Xenopus tropicalis: one gene and its partner. The protein of the gene in region 1 binds, or shares a complex with, the protein of each later gene. Links are inferred from orthologs where the notes say so. Each region holds a gene or a part of one and is shown in the gene's direction. Other genes may lie near its edges.

What was found. The genes of interacting proteins can lie anywhere in the genome.
Region 2: the proteins of wnk4 (region 1) and klhl2 are in contact, whole or in part, in a crystal structure (PDB 4CHB), measured with the Homo sapiens proteins. The link is inferred for Xenopus tropicalis from reciprocal best matches to the Homo sapiens genes WNK4 and KLHL2. Residues at the interface, in NP_115763.2 of Homo sapiens: Glu557, Pro558, Glu559, Glu560, Pro561, Glu562, Ala563, Asp564, Gln565; in NP_009177.3 of Homo sapiens: Arg345, Phe361, Gly363, Ser364, Leu365, Arg366, Thr392, Phe408, Gly410, Ser411, Thr412, Gly413, Ser438, Ser439, Tyr455, Ser487, His504, Arg534, Tyr583.

What each region holds. Positions count from the first base shown.
Region 1 is NC_030686.2:21,733,124-21,736,955, reverse strand, and holds part of wnk4 (serine/threonine-protein kinase WNK4), read left to right. Parts: intron 1-543; coding exon 544-641; intron 642-3,132; coding exon 3,133-3,192; intron 3,193-3,832. UniProt on the Homo sapiens protein: Serine/threonine-protein kinase component of the WNK4-SPAK/OSR1 kinase cascade, which acts as a key regulator of ion transport in the distal nephron and blood pressure.
Region 2 is NC_030677.2:51,308,783-51,312,614, reverse strand, and holds part of klhl2 (kelch-like protein 2), read left to right. Parts: intron 1-677; coding exon 678-875; intron 876-1,138; coding exon 1,139-1,240; intron 1,241-2,153; coding exon 2,154-2,282; intron 2,283-3,832. UniProt on the Homo sapiens protein: Substrate-specific adapter of a BCR (BTB-CUL3-RBX1) E3 ubiquitin ligase complex that mediates the ubiquitination of target proteins, such as NPTXR, WNK1, WNK3 and WNK4, leading most often to their proteasomal degradation.

The sequences.
Region 1 (3,832 bases):
AGATTCGCCACATTAGTGCCACCTAGAACACTATATTTATTCTGCAGAAAGCTTTACCATACCTGAGTAAAGAGCCCTAGAAGCTCCCATGGTTTGTTTAAGATAGCAGCTGCCATTTTAGCTTGGTCTTCGTAGCTTCTGCTGTAGCTCTAGCCCTTGATAGCTCAGATCACACAATTCTTTTGAATGATAGCCCTTGGTAGCTCAGATCACACAATTCTTATGGAAGGAGGGAGCAGGAGAAGGGAGAGAGTTGTACAGACTCCTGCCCCAAGCCCCTGAACGAGCCCTAAAGGAGAGGAAGTCGGATACCGAAGAACATGTTTACAAAAAAGGAGACAAGAAATCCTGTGTTTCTTTTGATAGAAGACTCAGTCCAGCTTTTCTGTGAGTGCTTATGGCTGTATTTACATTACCATACTACATGACCTTTCTGATAACGCTTACTTTGTTTTTACCTTTTTTTTCTCCTTTAAAAAGAAATCTGCAGATAAAATATTGAAATTGTAGCGGTATCTGCAAATGAATACATTTATATTACAGGTTTCATTCGGAAAAATTCTCTTGGAGGGAGCAGCACTGGTTCCCAAGAACAACGATTAAACAAAGGGGTGACCTTTTCTGGGGATATGACCAGAATGGTAAGGAAGACATTGTAACACTGCAGTTAAAGTGATTTATACAATGGGAAAGGTGCTACACTAGACCATTATGACACACCCCGACGCAATGAAATTTAAAATTTTGCTCCCATACAGAGCAATGGGGACCTCTCCCCACTGCTCCACATGGGAGTTTAAATGTCCGCGCATGCGCGTTCGGGAGGGGGGGGGGCCTCGGGGCGCCCAGGTTAGAAATCAGGCGCTGATTATGATGGGTGGTGCCATACCATTATCAGATACTGTATCAACTGTGTAAATAATAAATATAGTGCAATTATTTAATCCATCACACACAAATAACAGTTGCTCCTAATTTATACTTTTAGTCCTTTGTAGTTGCATTAGGTTGGCCTTCTCAGTGTGTGTTACCATCATTAAGGCTTTAATATAGGTGGACTGGAATCAAATCTCTGTGACAATCTGTAAAGTTCAAGTAGCAGTTTTACTGGCTGGTGTGCTCAGAAATAAGAGCCACTGTGATACAATGTAAAAAAGTCTAAGGAACACATAGGAAAGATTGGCTACACAGCCCTACTACATTCATTTGGGCAATAAATGCAGGTAGTGCTGTGTGGTTCACCTCTCACTCAAGGATGGTGTTTACAACACTGGATTCCTAACATCCGCCAGTGAATCAAATTGCTAAGTTACACTGGCCACTGGGGGAAAAAATAATTTAACGCCATCTTATTTATTTTTGTAGGCTTCGATTTGTGCATGCCCATTAGAATCAAATTTTCAGATTTTACTCAAAATAGGAGTGCCACTTTTTTCCCATAGCCAATTACACCCAGCCTGGGTATAAGGAGTGAAAATAAGTTAGATGTAGTCCCACACCTTGTGTCTCAACCCTTTCTCCTTGTAGATTGTAAGCTCTTTTGGGCAGGGCCCTCTTCACCTCTTGTATCGGTTACTGATTGCTTTCTATGTTACTCTGTATGTCCAATGTATGTAACCCACTTATTGTACAGCACTGCGGGATATGTTGGCGCTTTATAAATAAATGTTAATGTAATGTAAAATGTAGTTAATGAAATAAGTTAAGTAATTATTATCACCAGCCAATAGGGGGCACTACAGGCAGAAAGATATACATGGGGCAACATTATCCGTGGCCTTTATGGGGGCACAGTGGTAGACTAGCCATTGCAGAGTAGGATACAGGTGAAAACAGGTGAGCAGAAAGTACTAGGTGTCTGAGATAGGTATATTTAGCATGGGCCGCCTATTGCACCAACAAGAAGCTGCTTTCCGGTGGGTCATCCAGCAGAGGAACCCAAGTGGAAACTTTAGGTAAGTATAGGGTTGGAGGGCTTTCGGCCAGATTTCTGCCAGTAGAAAAATCCTGTGTGGAATAGCAAAGGGACTCTAGAAGGAGTGTTGAATTGCTCAGACAGGTGGGAACAGGGATCCCAGGACTAGAGTAAGATTAGGCAACCCCAACCCCAAGATGTTGGTGACATATTTTGCATGTGATCCTCTGGACAATGTGAGACATGTATGTATCCCCAATATGTGCCAATAAAGTTACTGATTCTTAGGGCTGGGGATTGTGTAATCAGCTATCTGCCCATTCAACACGGGGTTAGCTCAAAGTTAAGCTTTGTTGTCATTTAAGGTTTGTTGAGCAGAATTTAGCAAGGCATGACAAGCATATAAGGAGGCTTTCTTTTTTTGTAACTTATAATTTTTATTGAGTTTTATAAGGAAGGGGGGGTAAAAATAAAAAGGAGAAAGTATAAAATACAATCAAAATATATAAAACATTTATAAGACACGTTCCTTGCGTTTCTGTTTTGGTTATAAGGAGGCTTTCTAATCACAGCAGCCTCCATGTAGACACTGTTGAGGAACATGGAGAGAAGCCTTCATGTAGACACTGTTAAGGAACATGGAGAGAAGCCTCCATGTAGACACTGTTGAGGAACATGGAGAGAAGCCTACATGTAGACACTGTTGAGGAACAGCTAGTGCCTGTTTGCATTCCTGTGAGCAGTCTGTCAGTCTGCCGGCTGCATCTACAGAGTTAGAGAGAAGATGAGGAAAGAGCAGGATTATTATATATAGTGAATATATATTTCACAGTGCTTTGCATCAGTCCCTAGTGAAACTTACACTTAATGGCCCTTAAAAAAACACTGTGATCAATTTTAATCAGGAGCCAATTAAGCTTGTGGAATGTGGGTGAAAACCCACCAGTGAAAAACATACAAACTCCTTCCACTCCTTGTGCCCTGGCTGGAATGTAGTTTTGGGCCCCAGCAATGCTGTACACTGCGCCACCATGCATGTTACAGCCATATTTGTTCTAACTTTTTACCTCATGGAAAAAGTAGAATTATCCATGGCTGTTTAACTAGATTCAGTGGGTCTTGGTCTTCAGTGAAATTATATGGCTCTCTCCATTGGCTTTCTTGTATGTCATTGTTATTTTATAATTATCATAATCTTCTTTCTCTTTTTTGCCTAGGCAACGACTGGAAGTTCTAGCAGCGAAACAAGTGAACAGGATGAAAAAGAGAAAGTAAAGGTAATTTGTCTATAATGTACCAAATACAAAATTTGTGCTCGCTAAAATTAAAGTTAGAGCTAATGTTATTTATGACTCAGAGGTTCATCTGACACAAGGGTTCAAAGTACAAATCCGTACCAAATGTAAAGTAGAGACCCGGGTGTCTATACCCCGGGTCTGTCACTCAAGTAGTAGAGAAGTCTGAGAAGCGATATAAAGAAGCTCACCGTAGTCCCGTAGTGGTCCGGGTGCTCAGGGCCCCGAACCCGTAGCTAAGGCAAAATATCCAAAATGTTGAGGGGTAGATCCAAGCGCACCGGACAGCAGGAGACTCTCTTAAAACTTAGTCTTTATTCATCCATTTAAAAACAAGCCACGCCTAAAAGGCGTGGCTTATTTTTAAATGGATGAATAAAGACTAAGTTTTAAGAGAGTCTCCTGCTGTCCGGTGCGCTTGGATCTACCCCTCAACATTTTGTCTATAATGTAGTCTAAATTAGGCGTAATTTATGAACTGAACACAAAGGACTTCCATATGCTTGGGAAACATCAGAATTGTACCACTGAACCACTAAACACCACTTTACTGCTGGTTATATTGAAGGTATGGTCACCTTTAAATTAAATGAATGATAAGCTATCAATGTTTTGTATGCCA
Region 2 (3,832 bases), on another chromosome or scaffold:
GGTTTCCTTTATTACTTACCCATTCTGCATATCTTTTACATCACACACTAGCAGAGAGAATGGCAATTTGTCCCCCTTTCGATACTTTTGTGTGAGCACTGACAGGACTGTAATACATCTGACATGCTCAAGTGTGCATTTTGTGTACAGTGAGCAGTGGATTTCAGTCATGTGAATGCACACAAATGTAGCAGATGGGAGAGTAAATGAGTTCTTTCTACTATCAGTGGAGAAAATGAGATGTGTGCCAGTAGCCTGAGAGGATATTGGCACAGTTGTTTATTTCGCTGCCACTAGGTGGAGCATGCAATATACCAGTTAAGAAAAAAAAAAAAAAAAAATCGGAAATAATCTTTAAAAAATGCTATTACTGCCAAGACTTCAGGCATCCCTGGAATAAGTCTTCTTCATACTACTACCTGAGTAATAGAACATAGCCAAAAACAAACCTGCTCGATCAACACCTGGTTGATTTTTCAGCCAGATATCTATCGGGAGGCCCATCAGGGTGCATGGGGGGCTGCTGGGAAATGAGTACAAAATTTACACCCGCTATCTTTCATTAGAATATATATTCCATAGGTGATTTTAAACAGACATGGATTTTTGGTACCTCTTTTGTCTTTAATATTGGCTGTTATAATTGCTGAATATGTAACAAGACCATGTTGTTCCAGGTGTGGTGTACATGTCTGGCCATGTATTTGCTGTTGGAGGATTTAATGGCTCACTTAGGGTGCGCACAGTAGATTCTTATGACCCCGTAAAGGACCAATGGACAAGTGTGGCCAACATGCAAGACAGGAGAAGCACTTTAGGAGCAGCTGTTTTGAATGGGCTCTTGTATGCGGTTGGAGGATTTGATGGGAGTACAGGTAATTTAACCTGCTGTAAAAATGCTGATTTCTATTAAATTCCCTTTGCAGGCAGCACCGTGCGTACCCTCAGGCTCTTGTATTTGATAAATAGATAGATATACAGTATACAAATAAAGATAAAGTTGTATAGAAACTTATGTGTTAGTAAAGTTACCTAATATTTTTATATGCCAAACCCTCAATATTTTTGGCACACAAGTGAGTTTTGCTATCGCAAGATTCCATTACATAATAGCTGAAGGAATTGCATTGTTTTGTAGGTCTTGCAACAGTGGAAGCATACAATATAAAAGCAAACGAGTGGTTTCATGTTGCACCAATGAACACTAGGAGGAGCAGTGTTGGTGTAGGCGTCGTTGGAGGTACGTTCTGCCTGTAAATAACTGGTTTCATTATTGTGTACTTTCATGTCAAGATAGGATTAGCATTGTGTTGTTCCAGATAGAGACAGCAAAGTGTGTTTAGCAGTCTCATTTACAAGTCTTCAAGCTGTCGATCTTTGGCTGTTACTGAAGTTAGATTTTGGCAGGCGCTGGAAAGCCACAAGATATAAAGACTTCTCTGTATTTTAGTTCATATGACCAAACCAGATGCAAGTGAGGCAGGAATATTTTGAACATGTGAACATTCTGCACCACATAAATATTTGAACCTGCACTTGCAAACAATAGTCCTTATCATGCTAATAAAGTCTTACTTGTCTTCACCAATCCTCCACCGTCCTCGGCATACTTTGCAGAGGGGTGCTGTGACTAGGTACTGTAAAGATGGCACCATATTAACATGTATACCACTTGTCTTGAAAAACTCATGAAAACAGTGTTATAGCCATTGCCAAACTTGGTCATTTATGAAGACATTTAAGACATTGTAATATGTAATTGTATGTTTACATGTGAGGGAACTTATAATTTGTCTAGATAATTTATTTAATTTGAACAACTGCACGCAGATGGACATATACAGTGTGTAGGGCCAAATCCCTGATACATATTACTATTAATAGCTAGCAAAATACAATTTTTATATACATGAAGAATTAAAATGGGTAAAATTATTAAAAAGGGAATAGTCCAGTGCAGTACACACAGCAGCAAATCACATATTTGCTTTGATTCTCTGAATACCAGTAGACTAGACTGTTTGTTACTTGCTACATATAGCCATCTTGTCATGTGCTGTGACTTCTGTACTGGCAAAAAAATATCCATGAATGATATTCGCATTTCATTTCCTGCTTATAATCCCCTTTTTTGCTGGTGTTGGCCATTACAGGCATGCTGTATGCTGTCGGGGGTTATGACGGTGCATCTCGACAGTGCCTGAGCACAGTTGAATGTTACAACCCAAGTACAAATGAATGGAGTTACATTACAGAAATGGGCACAAGAAGGAGCGGAGCAGGTAACTAAGATCTTTCTTTACTGCTTTTATTCAAGCAAGGTGATTGGGAAATATTTTCAAGTGTTTGGAGCTTGGAAAAACACAGCTGGAAAAACAGAACTCACATTGCTACTTGTGAGTACTCAAATGAGAATGATCCCTTACATAAAAGTATTTATAGACAGCCATCCCTCCCATACACAAACGGCACCAGTTTGCCCCCACATCTGCCCAGCTTTCCTTACCTGTTGATAAAAAGCACAGTAGCATGGCAAGGTTGAAGAGCGCCATCTCGCAGCACTAAATCTTCACCTGTAAGTGATCACCGACATATGCAGTTGAAGCCATGCTGACTACTGAAGAGAGGATTCAGTAGCACAACATGGTCCCTTCAAGCCCACTGTGATACTGTCAACAGGTAAGGAAAACTGGGCAGAATTTGGGGGAAGACTGGTGCTGTTTGGGTGGGGGAGGGATGGCTGTCCAGGAATATTAGCTATTATGTGAGGCTTTTAATAACCTTTAAGCAGTGCTTGAAGTCCTGATTTTATTTGTAGGCTTCTTCTTTTGCTATCAAGCTGTACATTGAATTAAATCTCATGCAAAGCCTGTATAGTCACAGCAAGATTGTATTCAGTTGAGTGGTAAAGAATAAAAGCCGAACAAACTGAAAGTAAATTGTTTCTGAATAAAGTTATCACGTCTACTATAATTCATGATGTTTTGACATACAGGCTGTCCATTAGGAAATATTGCATATTACACATTTATTTTAATGGGTCAAAATTAGAAGGTGAGGATATTCTGAGTCAAATTGCAAAAGGTGTCAAACCCTGTGTAACCCTTTAAGTTCATGGGAAAGCAGGATCCTGCTTTTGCATTACATTGGGGAGTAGGTTGCCAGACAAAGTAACTTGAGGTCAGAGTGGATTGAGAAATGCAGATACGTTTTTTTTTCTGCTGTTTTTCACCCAAGTACTGTAAAAAGAATCTTACCCTTGAATTACTCAATGTCAGGAGTGGCTAGGGGTTCCCAGGAGCAGCCAGGCAACATAAATCCCTTCCTGCAGGAGATCTTTGAGGAGGGAAACATAATGGTGCTGCTGCTTGGTGCAAAAAGGTTGGGGAGAGTACTTACTGAATGCCAGAAAGAAGTTCCCCATTGCCCATAAGAGGGCAGCAAAGTCTAATACAAAGTAGGCTAAAATTAATACAGGTAAGGGATCTGTTATCCGCAAGCCATTATCCAGAAAGTTCCAAATTACAAAAAGGCCATCTTTTATAGACTCCATTATAAGCAAATAATTCTAATTGTTAAAAATGATTTCCTTTTTCTCTGTAATTATAAAACATTGTCTTGTGCTTAACCTTAACTAAGATATAATTCTTATTGGAGGGAAAACATGCTTGTTGGGTTTATTCAGTATTTAAATGATTTGCGTTATGGAGATGCAAATTATGGAAAGTTCCCTTATCCAGAAAACCCCAGGTCCCGAGCATTCTGAATTACAGTTCCCATACCTGTACAGTTAATGACATCTTGTTATCTCTTTCTACCTGTCATAATAAAG